2 linked regions of the Tamandua tetradactyla genome follow. The protein of the gene in region 2 purifies or fractionates together with the protein of the main gene of each other region. This does not show direct contact. Links are inferred from orthologs where the notes say so. Each region holds a gene or a part of one and is shown on either strand. Other genes may lie near its edges.

The links.
Region 1: the proteins of MIOS (region 2) and SESN2 purify together in Homo sapiens (affinity purification with western blotting; 5 studies listed by BioGRID and IntAct, with this or other methods). This does not show direct contact. The link is inferred for Tamandua tetradactyla from reciprocal best matches to the Homo sapiens genes MIOS and SESN2.

What each region holds. Positions count from the first base shown.
Region 1 is NC_135328.1:197,945,969-197,953,369, forward strand, and holds the start of SESN2 (sestrin-2), read right to left. Parts: upstream 3,016-7,401; 5' UTR 2,643-3,015; coding exon 2,556-2,642; intron 1-2,555. UniProt on the Homo sapiens protein: Functions as an intracellular leucine sensor that negatively regulates the mTORC1 signaling pathway through the GATOR complex. In absence of leucine, binds the GATOR subcomplex GATOR2 and prevents mTORC1 signaling.
Region 2 is NC_135327.1:117,444,130-117,451,783, reverse strand, and holds the start of MIOS (GATOR2 complex protein MIOS), read left to right. Parts: upstream 1-4,649; 5' UTR 4,650-4,852; exon of another isoform or gene 4,853-4,962; intron 4,963-7,654. UniProt on the Homo sapiens protein: As a component of the GATOR2 complex, functions as an activator of the amino acid-sensing branch of the mTORC1 signaling pathway. The GATOR2 complex indirectly activates mTORC1 through the inhibition of the GATOR1 subcomplex.

The DNA.
Region 1 (7,401 bases), on a different chromosome or scaffold from region 2:
CACAAGGCTAAGTGCTTTACACATTCGATCTTGCTGATTCTTCACAAGCACCTCTGAAAACAGGTCTTGTTATCCTCTCTTTAGAGGTCTCAGGGGTTCTGAAAGGTTCAGTCCCACAAGGGCACAAGCTCAGATAAGATTTCAAAGCCTGCACAGATTCACAAGGGTCAGCTAAGTCAACAAGGGACAAATAGCTATGGACACTTACTAAGTGCTAAGTACAGTGCTCAGACAGGAATGGGACCTGTAGGGTGGGGTCCCTGCCCCTGGGCACTTCCAGTGAGTAGAGGAGACAGACAAGAAACACCTAGTTACTCAAAAGTTTCACTATAATTGGGATAAAATCTTCCACAATGAAGAAGGGCACTTGGGAGCAGGGGACTTATCTGGTGAGGGAAGAAAGGCTTTCTTGAGGAAGTGATATTTGAGGAAGTGTTTCTAGAGCCCCAAAACGCTCTAAAAACACCAACAGAGTGAAGTATTAAGGATTTTCCAGAGATATGTACACCTGAAGGCCTTGAACCTCTCGCAGGGCCTGTGCTGAAAAGTTAGGGAAATGAGGGGGCTGCACATCTGGGTCTTCCATGGGGCTTCAAGCATAGGGTTCTGTAAGATCAGCCAGTTCCCTTCTGTCTTCTAAGGATTCCCACTTAAGCAGACACTCCTTCCCAAAGACCTCTTTTCACAAGAGAGAATACACAGAAACACCCTATACACCACCAGTCTCTCCACTGCTGACAGGGGGCTTCCATCTAAAGAGCACTCACTCAAGAGTCTGTCTCAACTATCTGAGATACTCTCTTCTCCCCAGACCACTTCCCAGAGAAGGATAAACCAATTCTCACCTCAGACAGGAAGGGAGGGCTGAGGGCGCACCCTTGTGAGACCATCTGGAGAAAGGGAAGTGTGAGCCACGTTCCCAGTGGGTTTGGTCACATTCTAACCATAGCTAGCATGTTTGATGCAGTTACCATGTTCCAGCATTGTGGTGTGATTTTGCTTGTCTTCCCAGTTAATTCGCCAGAGAATCCCTCAGAGATTATCAAGCCCCCCAAGGGAGGAAGTTGTGGATCAGAGAGGTGACCTCTCACTTGGTCAAAGTCACAAAGTTGGTGAGTGGGAGAGAGATGGGGCATGAACCCAACTCTCTTCCACTCTAGTGTCCAGGAACTCTCAATAATACTATTCCCATTTTTCACAAAGAAGGAGATAGACTCAGGGTGTAAAGCAAATTGGTCAAAGTAACAACAAGGCTAAGAGTAGCAGAAGCTGGAGTCATTCCTCCATAGGGAGCCCCTAAATCAGGGTGAGGAAGGAGTTAAACTCGAGCTAACAGAAAACCTAGAACATAAACCATCCACTGTTGAAGTTAGGACCAAGACACCAGGTTGCTCAGAGAAGGTCAGAGATTTTCCCGGGTCACAGAGCTCAGGACTAGCACTCTCTAACTCCCAACAAGAGAGGCAAGCAAATTTCCTTGAAGCGCCCAAGCACACCAAAATCCTGGAGCCACCCAGGCCAAAGAAAGAGCTACTGGGTGAGATTATCGAGAAGTTTCTCCTTAAAGCTTCTCCTTAAATCCCTCCTGGGCCTCAATTTCCTCATTCGGTAAAATGGGGCTATAGTACAGCTCCTATTTTGCTTGCTTAGTTCTGAAGACTCAGAGAAAACGCAGGCAAGAGCCGGAGCCCGGCATCTCGTAGGTGCTTAATAAATGATAAAACGTTCTGCATCGCAGAGGGGTGGGAGGAGGCCCAGTCTTTATCCTAGCCTCACAGCAAAGTCCCTTCAGGCTCTGCCTGGTGGCTAAGGGGAGATCGATTCTGCGAGAAACAAACTTTTAGGACCTCAGACCACTTACTAGAACGCAGTCTAATAGCACTTGGGTTCGGGAGCCGCGACCAGAGTTCCCCCCACCCAAGTCCCTCTCTCCCCAGCTCGGGCCGCCGCCGCCGCGGGTCGGGCAGCCGGCCAAGCCCCCGGAGCGCCCGCGGGCCCCACCTCTTGGAGCGCGCCGCCCACCCCCTCCAACTGGGGCGAGATAGAGGGGGCGGGGTAGGGAGCGGGGAATAGCAGGAGACCCTGTCGGCCTTCGCTGGCCAGTCCCAGACGCCCAGTTACCGGCGCTCGGGAACTGGAGCGCGGACATATCCTAGAAAGAGTGCCCAGCCGGCCTGCCCCGGCCAGGAGGAAGGGAATCTGCGGAAGGAGGCGGGGAGGAGGAGTGGTCGGGCCGCGCCGGCCGGGATTTGCCTGGACTTGAAGGCGCTCTCGACAATCGCCCTAACCCGAGAACCTCGAGAAGGCCCCCTTCTCCTTGGCCAAGGGTCCGAGGGAGCCTTGGAGGCTTCACACCTCTGGGGGGGAGGGGGAGGGGGAGGGGAAGGGGGCGGAGAAGGCCGAGGCTGCCGGTTGATGCAACCCCACACCCAGGTTACGCACTTCACTCCCCCTCCCCAAGCCCGAGGGGCGCACTGACTCCGCTCCGGACGGCCCGAGGCTCCGACGCCGCTCCGGGTGCCTGCGAAGAGTGGTGTCGCCCAGCCGCCGCTTACCTCTTCGGCCCCGGCGCCGCCGCCGCCCCGGGTGAACGGCAGGTAGCCCTTGAGCTCAGCGCTGCACTCGGAGTCCGCGACGATCATAGTGTGCGCCAGGACGGAGCCGCGGCTCGCAGACGACCCGGGCACCCGGAGGGGGCGTTGGACGGATGCACAGCGGGAAGCCGGGACCCGGGGCTGCGGGCGGGTTTCTAGAACCCTGTGCCTCTCGCGATTCCAGAACTCTCCGAAAGCCCAGAAACCGGGAACGGCCGCTGCTGCGCTGGACTCTCACTCAGCCCCTCTTCTGGAACGGTGAATGGCCGCAGGAGCCTACGATTGGCCGCGGCGCGAGGGTTCTCACCGTGCGGAGCGCCTCGGAAGTCCGCAGTGGCCAGGGCTGCTCGCGAACCCAGCGCTTCTCAGCATCCCCGCCGCGGAACTGCCAGCGCTCGCCCGGCCCTGACACCAGCAGACCCGCTCAGCCCGCTGCGGTCCCCGGGGGAGGGCGGGGACACAAAAGCCCGCACCGCAGCCAATCAGATGTCTGTTTCCCGGGGAGGCGGGAGCAACACCTCCCGCTGGAGTCCCCTGCTCGGCCAATTGGCATCGGGAAGTTCCCGGGAACTCTGGGAGCTGTAGTCTGGCCCAGACCAATGCTGCAAACTTTTGCAAGAGGGGTTAGTCAGAGTGCAGGCAATGCCCGGCAAGAGTGACAGCCCAGAGAGTCATTAAAGCTACGTGATGAAACGCGAGTTCACCGGTCTCGGCCGGAGAGCCGGTGTTAAGTCCCTCCCAAATGTGTGCTTCAGCTTTTCAGTTCCTGGAGGGGCGGGTGAGGATGAGAAGTTCGGCCTTGCTGTATCCAGAGGTGTTAATTATATAGAGTGGAACCCCAGATCTTTGGAGATCAGAGGGCACAGCCCTGTTCTCCTTGGCCTCGCGGAGAACTCCGCCTTTAAATGTACCAGACACTGGGAATGCAACCTATTTGTGGAGGTTCTGGGGAACCCTTCATTCACTGAAATGGCACTGGCCACCTCATGTCTATTCTAACCTCAACCTGTATTGCTGCAGTTTCCTCCTTTCTGCTCCCTTGGGACCTCAGGTCCTGTCTTCCAGCCTTGCCCAACCCCCTTCTCGAAACTTTGTGACAAGGTGTTGTGCTGTCTCTTTTCTCACCTCACTCTGGCCACTCCTTCTCTGACTCCTCTTTCTCCTCTCACTCCCTGCAACGTGGGTGTTCCCCCAAGTTTCTGTTTTTATCCCTCTGCGCTCCAGACATACCCTTCGTCCCTAATTTCATACACTCTCTGGCCTTCAACCCTCCTTTGGGGAGGAAATCACCATTATCAGCACCTCAGCAGCTTGAAGCTGAATTCATCTTCCCCTCCCCCTTCTCACAGAGCCTTTTCCTTCACAGTTTTTCTTCAGAGTTCTTCTTTTGTTTCAGTTTTTTTTTAAGTCATTGTTTACTATGGAGAGGGATCCTGGCAGTGGCAGAGATGGACTATACAACCGCCAAGGTCCCCTCTGAGACTCTCTAAGTGTAGGATTACAATTCCAAAGATGAGCCTCTGACTCGGTCTCCTGCCTCCAGCCTTTTGAGAAAGGAAATTAATCTCACTCTCCCTTCAGCTCCCAAGGTACTTGGCCTGGGTCTGTATTATAACAGCACACTCTATCTTGTGTACATGTCTTATATGACCCTTTTGATTATAAGCTTCTGGAGGGCAGGGTCCACATCTTGACATCGTTGTCTCCTGACCTATGCCACCTTGTGTGATATCCCGCCAACAATATGGCCTTGTTAAATGAATCTTCCTTTGAATTAAATTCCCATCTAAAGCACTGTTTCAGATTTCTGCTTTTATTTGAAACAATTACTCTGTAATATCAGTGTCCAGATGAAAAAGCTCTAGTGGTGTCTCATCAGTTACAGAATAAAGGTCAAACGCCCAGATTGGATTCAAGACCTGCCAAGACCTGCCTCAATTTACCTTTTCAGTCTCATCACCTATCACACCCATGTTCCTTGTTTGACTTTCAAGTCTTTCTTCCAATGGTTCTTTCTGCAAATCTATGCCCTTTGAAATGCTACCCAGCATTCACTGTTTTTATTCTCTGTGGCATGAAAGAAGGCTTCCAAATGCCACTTCCTCCAGAAAACATTGCTTTTTTTCAGCCCAGCAGAAAGCAATCTCTCCTACTCATCAGCTTCTTCAACGTGACCTTTCTACTTCTATACCACTGCTCCCCAAACTTGATGCAGCTTCATTATTATATTTGCATGTCATTTCTTCCTCCCCAACTAACAATGAAATATGTTATTGACCAGTTTTCCAATGTGAGGAAATGATCTCAGAAAGATAAAACTGCTTGTCCAAGATCACAAAATATATTATTTTGACTGGGCCAGGTTGCCATTAGAACTCCTTTAAGACAGGACTGTCTAATTGTTTCTGTACCCACCACTAGGACAGAGCCGATCCTTAGTACATTTTTGAATGAATGTATCTGAGGTACTCTCCTCTGTAGAGGAACACTTCAGAATCTTCAAGAAAGTGACTAAACCATTCCCAAGGCTTTGCTTACAAAATTAGTGATTTTAGAAGAAGAATAAGCAAGAGATACCACTATTATAAATTGGATGCTCTTTTGTAACCCAGTATCCAAGGAAAAAAATCAGAAAACACAGGAACTAACATTTGCAGTGTTCAACAGTGGTTGAGGATATATTTGTTGTCACCTCAGGATGCATCTGTTGTCTTACGTTACTCTCACCACAACCTCATGAGGTAGACATTATGTCTCTGTTTAACAGATGAGGAAACTGAGGCTCAAGAAGTATATTGGCCAAGTTCAGATAGCTTAGTTCTAGGTTGAGCAAGGATTCAAACCCAGGCAGGAATGAATCCAAAACAGAAACTCCACCGTGCCACTGATGAGAGAAGGAAGGGAATGTGTAAGAAGCAGGCTGGCACAAGGAACTGATGCTTAAGTCAGAATTCCAAAGTATTAATTGGAAAACATAACTGTTAAGTCACCTATAATTGAAGGGCCAACACATCCCTCCTTGTAGGATAGTCTCCATGAAAAGCCAGGTTATCATCCACAGGTGGCCAGGGCTACTGAAATCTGAGCAAACGGAATGGATGAAAAGATGAATCATTGAACCAGCTCCACTCAGGACAAACCTGCTAGTCAGTGCTGGGCTCCTTCCCTCCCTCTCTCATTCAGTCAATATGTATTGACCATCTAGTGTGTACCAGGCTTTGTGCCGGGCTCTAGAAATCCGGCCGTGAAGCTTCCAACCCAGTGGGGCATGGCGCAGTGACACCAGCTGGACATACTTCCCCTCTCCCCCACCACCTCAAGGTTTTGGTTCAGTCAGTATCTCTTCCTGTTGCCATACTCTCTTGCATCATCCATGCTGAAGCCACTGATTGGCTGGAGCTTTTTTATTCCTCAATATTTCAGTTCTGAAGATACATCGAGATTGGATTTGAAATGTTTCTGAGTTTTCCTCAGCTTCAGGCCCTTTCTCATATTATGACCCTAATGGAATTCTCACCTAGTCTGTATTCATTCTTCCTAGGTTAATTTTCTAATCCCATATTCTGAGATCACTTTACTATATAACCTGTACTCCGACCACTCCTGGGACTGTGATTTATCACCCCAGAAGCCATCTTCTGAGTTCTTCACATTGTTTCTTCCTCCCCATGCCCCTCTTACCTCCATCTCAAAATACAATTCCTGCCCTGGAGGAGACCTGGGGGGAAAAAAGCCCAATCTCAACTGGTTTGATAAAGCCAAAGGAGACCCACCCCTTGTGGGTATTAAACTGACTCCTTCATTTAATTATTCTTTAAGTAGGCATTGTGCTAGGTGCTGAGGAAGGGCCTTCCTTCATTAGGCTGCTGGATCCTGAGACAACCACAACTGGAACTGTCCTTCACAACTGGAGTTGTGCGTTAGGGGGCAGGACTACCACAAGTTCTTGGAAACAGAGCCAACTGTCTCCTGGGTAAAATGGAACAGAAAGGGATAGCCCAGGAATCAGGAAATTCGAATGCTAGTTTTCAGCTGTCTGACCCAAGGTGAATTTTTTTTCTTAGAATCTGATCTCATATCCCTAAAACAAAGGAATTGAAATTACTCCCAACCCTTAAGAGCCACCGCAGGGAGAACTGGTGTTGGAAAAGTACGTAATTCCGTTGCTTTGACTGCATTCCGAGGACAGAAACCTTCAGCTTTGACAAAGCACAGCTCTCCTAATAAATAAAACAGGAAAACTGACCAACTGGATGCTCTTGAGTAACTCACTGAATTCCTGATGGATTGTTTGTCGGCTGAATGGGCCATCAGCGCCCCCTGCAGTCTGGATCTGCTACAGCTCAGCCAGAAACGGGCTGGAAAAAAAGGTGTGGCTTGAGGGCTGCCCCAAACCTTTTTGAGTTTATAGGATCGCCAGGTCCCATGCCACCGCCCTAGAAGTCCTGAGAAGAGGCCATGAGATGGCCAAGTATAAAAAGCATATGGTTGCTCCTCTGCGCCAGCAGAGACCCGACTCCTAAGACTTCACGGTATGAATGCACTTCCCACTAATTTGACCAATTCTCTCATGAAACAGGCAGGAAGTCAGAGATCCGAGAGAGGAAAGAATTTGTCCAAGGTCACCCAGCAAGATGGCCACTGAGTGGAAACTAGAACCCTAGCCCAAGCTCCAAGTCCAGGGAGCCTCACATTTCCAGAAAGAACAACTTCTCTTTTTGCTCTGGTGTCCTTCCATTCCATTCCTAGAGGCCCTCACTATACATCCCATTTCCAGACGCCCCTGCGGGCCGTACCCGGAATAACG
Region 2 (7,654 bases):
CCCATAGAAAAGCCATGTTTTAATCAAAATCCCATTTCATAAAGGTAGAATAATCCCTATTCAACACTGGATGTTTGAAACTATAATCAGATCATCTCCCTGGATGATGTGATTTAGTCAAGAGTGGTTGTTAAGCTCGATTAGGTGACAACATGTCTCCACCCATTTGGGTGGGTCTTGATTGGTTTATTGGAATCCTATAAAAGAGGAAACGTTTTGGAGAATGGGAGATTCAGAGAGAGCCAGAGAAGAATGACATAGCCACGAGAGCCCACAAGCCTGTGACATTTGGAGATGAAGAAGGAAAACGTCTCCCAGGGAGCTTCATGAAACAGGAAGCCAGCAGAGAAAGCTAGCAGATGATGCCTTGCTTGCCATGTGCCCTTCCAGCTGAGAGAGAAACCATGACTGTGTTCACCATGTGCCTTCTCGGATGAGAGAGAGACCCTGAACTTCATTGGCCCTCTTGAACCAAGGTATCTTTCCCTGGATACCTTTGATTGGACATTTCCATAGACTTGTTTTAACTGGGACATTTTCTCAGCCTTAGAACTGTAAAATAGAAACTTCTTAAATTCTCCTTTTTAAAAGCCATGCTTTTTCTGATATATTGCATTCCAGCAACTAGGAAACTAGAATAAGGCCTTTGCTGGAATTTCATCACAGCTCACCTTCTCCCTCTGCCCAATCCTGCTTCTTCTCCTTCCCTTCCATAAAATGTTGATCCCAAGCACACTCCCTAATAAGCATTCTACATCCCAATCTCCATCTTTTAGCCTGGTACCCAGGAAACCCAACCTGAGAGAGTGTTAAATAAGTCTTACACTATAAAATTATCTGGCACATGGCAGATGGTATATAATTATTTGTTAAACAAACAAAAATAATTCAGTGGGAGAAAATAGAATGAAAATACAAGTTCAAGAAGAAAAAAACTGAATAATGTAAACTTTCTGATAATCAAAGAATAGCTTACTCATACATTTTTAAAATGAATGATAGTGGAAATCAACAAATACAATGGTACTTAAATTATTCCTGATACATTTAAAGAGTGGTATAACTATTAATTTAATTTAATTAATTAATTTAAATATTAAAAATTTCATATGTAAACATATTATGACAAATATTAGACGGAATACTAAAAATGTAAGAAAAAGTGCAATTATTTACAAAATTTATTTGGGAATATGCTAGAAAACTTTTGAAGATCACTATTATGGTATCTCAGAATTTCTCGTCCTCGATGTTTGTAAAAATATTACTGCCTTAGCGTCCCAGGACTGCTATTAAAAATAAGTCAATGGGCTGGCTTAAACAAGTATTTATTATTATTTATTTTATTAGTTTTTCAGGCTAGAAGTCCAAAATCGAGATGTCAGCAAGGTCATGATTTCTTCCCAGAGTCTATAGCGTTCTGGGGCTGGTTTGCCACAATCACTAGATTTCCTCAGCTTCCATCTCTGCTTCAGTCACAGGGCAATCTCTCTCTTACTGCATCTGTTCTTCTGGTTTCTGCTGACTTCTGGCTTCTTCCTTTGGCTTTCTCTGACTAACTGCATCTGAATTTCCTCTTTTTATAAGCTTCCAATAATATGGATTAAGGACAACCCCCACCCCAACCCAATTCAATTTGGCCACAATTTAATAATAATATCCTCAAAAGTTCCTTTTTACAGTGGAACACCCTTAGGAACACAGATTAAGATTAAGAATATGTGTTTTACTGGGGTACATAATTTCATCTACCACAATTACCATGTAACATATTTACAGGGCTTTGATTTTGGTTTGATGCCTACTCAGACTCCACCTAAGAAAAAAACTTGCTCTCAGGTTTAGACTGATTTTGCGTATGTGGAAGTAAAGGTAGCTGGGATTAGTCAACCACAGACTTCACAGAACGTCCCAGTAACTGCAGTTCTTCAACTACTATCCTTTACTGGTTTAAAACTACAACAACCCCCCCTACTCCATAAAATAAATGAAGGGGCTTAAAAAGGACAACATCTTAAGAACTCAACAGTTTAATAAATAAATAAATAAATAAAACACTGGGGCTTAACTACAGCAACTCTGATATCTATTACAATATATGTGTTTATAAAGGTAACCAATGTAATCTGAGACCTTTCACTCATTAAATAGTTCTCATTTTGGTTCATGTTTTGTTGTTTTGTTCTGCCATTTCCTAGACAGCAGGAAAAAGAAAAGGAAGTAGATGGTAAACAGCTTCCTTTTTAAGGGATATGATACAGAAATTCTCACAACTTATTGTTCACAACTTTTTGACAGAGTCATGTTTAGCCAGATGGGAGGCCAAGAAAAGTAGCTTCTAGCTGGGTCACCAAGTGCCCTGCCTAAACCTGGAGGTAAAGGAAAAGAATGGAAACTGGGGATGTAGAGTATATATTCCAGAAGGAGATGACAGGTAAATGCAAGTAAAAAGGTGAATATGTATGTGAAATTGTGATGAATGCTTTTCAGAAAATTAAGGGAGAGGGACAGAGGAGTTAACTTATATATAATCAGTGACAACTAAACAGATTTAAATGAAGTGAGAGTGTGAGTCATGCAGATTTCTAGTGGAAGAGCATTCCAGTAGAGGGAGCAGCTAGTGCAGAAGCCCTGAGACAAGAGTACACTTGCCATGCTCAAGAAATAGTAGTCATAGGGACAGAAGGAGAACAAAGGAGAATGGTGACAGAGAAGTAAGTGTAGAAAATATTTCAAGAGAGAAGTGGTCAAGAGTGTCAAAACCTACAAGGGTGAAACCTTGGCCAATGGAATTGATAGTGTGGAAGACATTGGTGACTTTGACAAGGGCAGTTTTGTGGAGCAGTGTAAATGAAAGCTTGAGGAGAGTGAGTTCAAGAGAGATAGGAAGTGGCATTAAAGAGAAGAAGTCTGATCTCCTTTGAGGAGAAAAATGGGAGTGACTTGAAAATGTTTATATTTTAAAGGGAAAGAACCAGTAGAAATGAAGAGATTGAAGACACATAGAAGAGGAGAAAATTGATGGCTAAAGGTCTCAGAAGAGCAGAAATATATGGGGTTCCTACTCTTCCTCGGTCAGCTAGAAGAAGGTAAGAATGGGAGTGAATGAAGATGTTGGAGGAGGGAAAGAGGAAGCAGTATGGGGCTGTGGGAATTCCTATCTAATCGTCAATTTTATTTGTGAAGTAGAAGGCAAAGTCATCTGAGTTTGACGGTAAAGGTTTTGCTCAGGCATGTATGTAGGAGGAGTGGGTAAGGAGGAGTCTTGTATTGATCTGAGTCTTGTATTGTGTGGAGGTTTGGGGCCAGGGCCAAACTATTGAGAGGATTGGCAAGAAAGTGTTGGAGGTGATAACTCCTATGATATTTCCCTTCAATACAGCACCTTCTTCTGCCCTCGCTCCTCCAATGGCAGCAGTGAAAAGGAACCTCAGACCTCCACAGGCAATACTCTCCCCTAATTCATCATTTCTCACCAAAACCATCTGCCTTGAAGATCATCAGAACTAAGTTCATTATGTGTTTACATCAATCACCAAGATGAGCCAAAGGCCATCCACTGTTAAGTATGAACAAACAGGTAAAAATTGTAGACATCTGAAGAAAACCTCTGTGTTGGTCTTGTAACACCTATGGATGCACCAGTATCTGTTAACCAGAACCTGGTCACCATTCAGGACTCCTTTTTTTCCCTCAGTTACTCAGTCATCAAGCCTTTGTTCATTCTGCTTTCTAAATATTTAATTCTCTTCATCCCAGCTAGTTTGGGCCACCATCATTTCTCATTTGCATACTTATCCTTTCCCTCTCCTTGTCGGCTATAACCCCATTCCCATCCAAACTGATTAAATCATACTTGCTTGGTTTAAAACCTTTAATAGCTCCACCACTGCCCTCAGGAAAAAGTCCATCTAAACTCCCTAAACTAGTTTCCAAACATCTTCCTGATGCAGCATCTTAATTTTTCTCCATTTCACCACTTCCGCTACTCACTCTAACCTCAGAACATTCTGTCCTGCTTCTCAATTGCTATATCTTCAGGCTCAGCACTTGCTCTTCCTCCTGCTAAAAAACTCTTCTCTCCATCTCCCTCTGCCCTCGTCCTTTCCTGGCTGATCCCATATTTACCCTTCATTTCTTTGCCTAGTGGTGCCTCGAGGAAGCTTTCCTGAATCCCCAACACTGAGGGGCGCTCTTCCGGTGCAGCATTGTGCCAGCCCTATTCAGGCGCCACTCAAATAGTCAGTTTTCTGCAGGGACCATGTCTATTTTTGTTCACTCCAGTACCCCTAGCATTTCCTAACAGTACAGAACAGACGCCCAAGACACGCTAGTGGAATGAATGAACGAGTTGACCAAGTGTTGAATCAAATACCTTGGACTTTCAACTACATCGCCCACAATAAATTTCTAATAAAAACTAAAATTTGTTGAACGTGCTTAAGTGTGTGAGTTGATTTTGAAATCGATAAAAAGGGGCTCTGGGGTGCAATCCAAGTCCAAGACTCCCAGTTTCCACCGGCGGGCTCTACGGGCGGGACAGGGCCTGCAGGGAAGGCAGGGGCGCTCGGCCAGAAGGCGGGGCCTCCCAGGCAGCGGCTCCGCCCCGCCTAAGGGCGGGGCGATTCCCTGGGCGAGGGTGGGGCGGGACTCGTGCGTCGAGAACCCACCTTCCGAGGCCCAGGCGTGGTTGGCGCGGCCTCGAGATGCGGCTTTGGTCTCGTGAACCCTGGCCGTGTGGCCCCGGTTACTAGCCGCGCCGCCGCCATCTTGCCCGCGTGCCGGCTCCCGCGGCGGGAGGGGCGGCGACCAGCCCGGAAGTGGCTGTGCAGCGGCCCCGCTGCCACCTCAGGTCAGTGAGTGCGGCCCGGGCCACTTGTCCGCGCTTCCAGCGGTGAGGCCGGGGGCGAAGGCTCGGGAGCTCCGGCCGCCGTGACGGGCTTGGATAAACCCATTTGAACGGTGCGGGCGCTTGAGCTCCGGGGATTTGCGTTCCCCTCTGCGGGATAACCACGCTGGGCCTCAGGGGGCCGGGGGCTGCGAGCGGCCAGAGGGCGCGCGGGGACCTCCTCGGGGGCGCGGCGGGCTGCACTTCAGCCTGCGCCTCGGCGGGTTTGTTCAGAACCGCGTCGCCGCCTTTGACTAGAGACTGAGCCAGGTGTCTGGAGCGTGGGAGTCTCCTCAGAGTGTTGGTTTACCCGGAATATTAACAAGCCCTGCTCCAGTGTACACTATTAAATACTTCTTAAAGGGCCTACCACCCGGGCATTTAGCTCTGATCTCTTCAAATACGAGTAATTAAAATTTCTTAAGATGACGAGTAAAGCCAGTCGCGTATGCCATGGGCATTGCTACATTTCTTAACAAATGACTGCAGTTGCAGGCCTTTTGTATAATTACATTTTAAGGGAAAATTTGAATTTGTATAGTGCAGATCCATGAAGCTGGTGGGGGTGGGAATTTGAAACTTGCTGTTGTAATATGCCGTGGTAAGAAAGAAAGAAGAAAAAAAGGATGTGAAAGGTTGATTGGCTAACTTTGTTCGCTTAGTATTATAGATCGTCACTGTCCAATTAGCCACGTGGGGCTGAGAGAGTTTGCAGTGTAAAATACACATTGGATTTCCAAGTCTTGGTACAAAAAAAATAGAAATTCTCAATAATGTTTATGTTGATTAAATGCTGAAAGGATAATATGTTTTATATATTGGGTTAAATAAAATATATGTTTTAAATGAATTGTATCTATTTTTGCTTTATTTGATGTGGCTGCTAGCAAGTTTTAAATTATACGACTCTCACTGTTTTAGTTGCACAATGCTGTAGTAGATGTTCTGATGATGACCATGGAATCGGCATGGCTTTCTTTTGCTCAGAAACTGTTGATGGGAAGTGAACACTCGTTAAACTTTGAAGGTGAAAGTATAAAAATATAAGCCCTATTTTAGGTGAACTCCACTTCCTCAACCTCCAAGTTTTCAATGTCTTTAAAATTTGAACACATTAACTTCTGTGATAACATCTGTGTGATGTGAAGAGCTCATTTCATTGTTGTGACTACTTAAAAATGTAAGTAGGAAAGGTTGATTCTATCAGTTCGTGTCTTGGAATTTAGGGGTCTTGTCAAAGTTTTAGTTTCAGAGTAACTAGAGGTCTTCTCATTACAGGTTCAATTTTCTTTGTTCTACACTGAATTCCTAGCTGTCTTCATTCATGAATGAAGATTCATCTATGTTGTGTGTTGGATTGTGAAGAAATGCCTGTGTTAAGAGGGTCATTATAGAAGCACTTCTTTATACCATGTCAGCTTCGTGGTGCGCAACCTGGACAGCCTCATAGGGTTCCACCCTTAGAAGGGAATCGTGCTTGATTTAATGCTCTGCTTTTGGCATGTTGAAATACTTAATAGTCTTCCAGCAAGGGGTCCCTGCATTTTCATTTTTACTGGGCTTGGCACATTATATAGCTGATTCTGTCTCTGATGTGTAAGAGCCAAAATATGCTGGTCTTCACCCTATTCCTACATGAACCGAGGGTGTGCCAATCTCTCCCTCTCAAGTTCTGTTTTGTACAGGTTACTATTATCAAATTTGGTTGATGGTAATATCGTAAGTATATAACGTCAGAAGAAATTCTGGTGATTCTCCATTGAGAGTCATGTAAATTAAATAGTTTTAAAAATTACAGTGACACTTTCTGTTTGTGTTTTGTAAGAGGAGATTTTTCCATGGCATCAAGTTTTCATACCGCATTTTTTTAAACTTTTTTTTTTTAATTGGAGAAGTTGTAGGTTAACAGAAAAATCATACCGAGAGTCTCCATTTAACCCCCCTCATGCACAGTTTTCTCTATTAACATTTTACATTAATGTGGCACCTTTGTTACAGTTGATGAAACAATATTGTAATTATACTATTTACCACAATCTATAGTTCACCTTAGTGTTCACATTAGTGTTCACTGTTTGTGTTATATGGTTTTATGGCTTTTTTTAATTTTTTATTCGGGGAATATATTACAACCCAAAATTTTCCCTTATAACCACGTTCAAAATGTATAATTTAGTGATGTTAAATACATTCACAATATTGTACTACCATCATGACCAAACATTACCAAAATTTTTCCATACTCCCATCCAGAAACGCTTTACTGATTAAGCATGACTTCCCCATTCCCAGCTCCCACCCCGACCCTGGTAACCTGCACTGTAGTTTAAAAATTCCATAAATTTGCTTATTCTAGGTATTTCATTTAAGCTAAATCATATACTATTTGTACATCTGTTTCTAGCTTATTTCACTCGACATGACGTGTTCAAGGTTCGTCCTTGTTATACCATGAACCAGAATTTCATTCCTTTTTACAACTATCTAATGTTCCACTATAATGGATAAACATACCATATTTTGTTTAATCATTCATCTGCTGATGGACACTTGTGTTGCTTCCATCTTTTGGCAATTGTGAATAATGCTGCTTTGAACATCAGTGTGAAAAGATATCTTAGAGTACCTGCATTCAATTCTTGGGGTATATACCTAGAAGTGGAATTGCTGAATCATATGGTATTTCTAAACTTAACTTTCTGAGGATCCACCAGACTATTTTCCACAGCGGCTGCATTATTTTACATTCCTACCAACAATGAATGA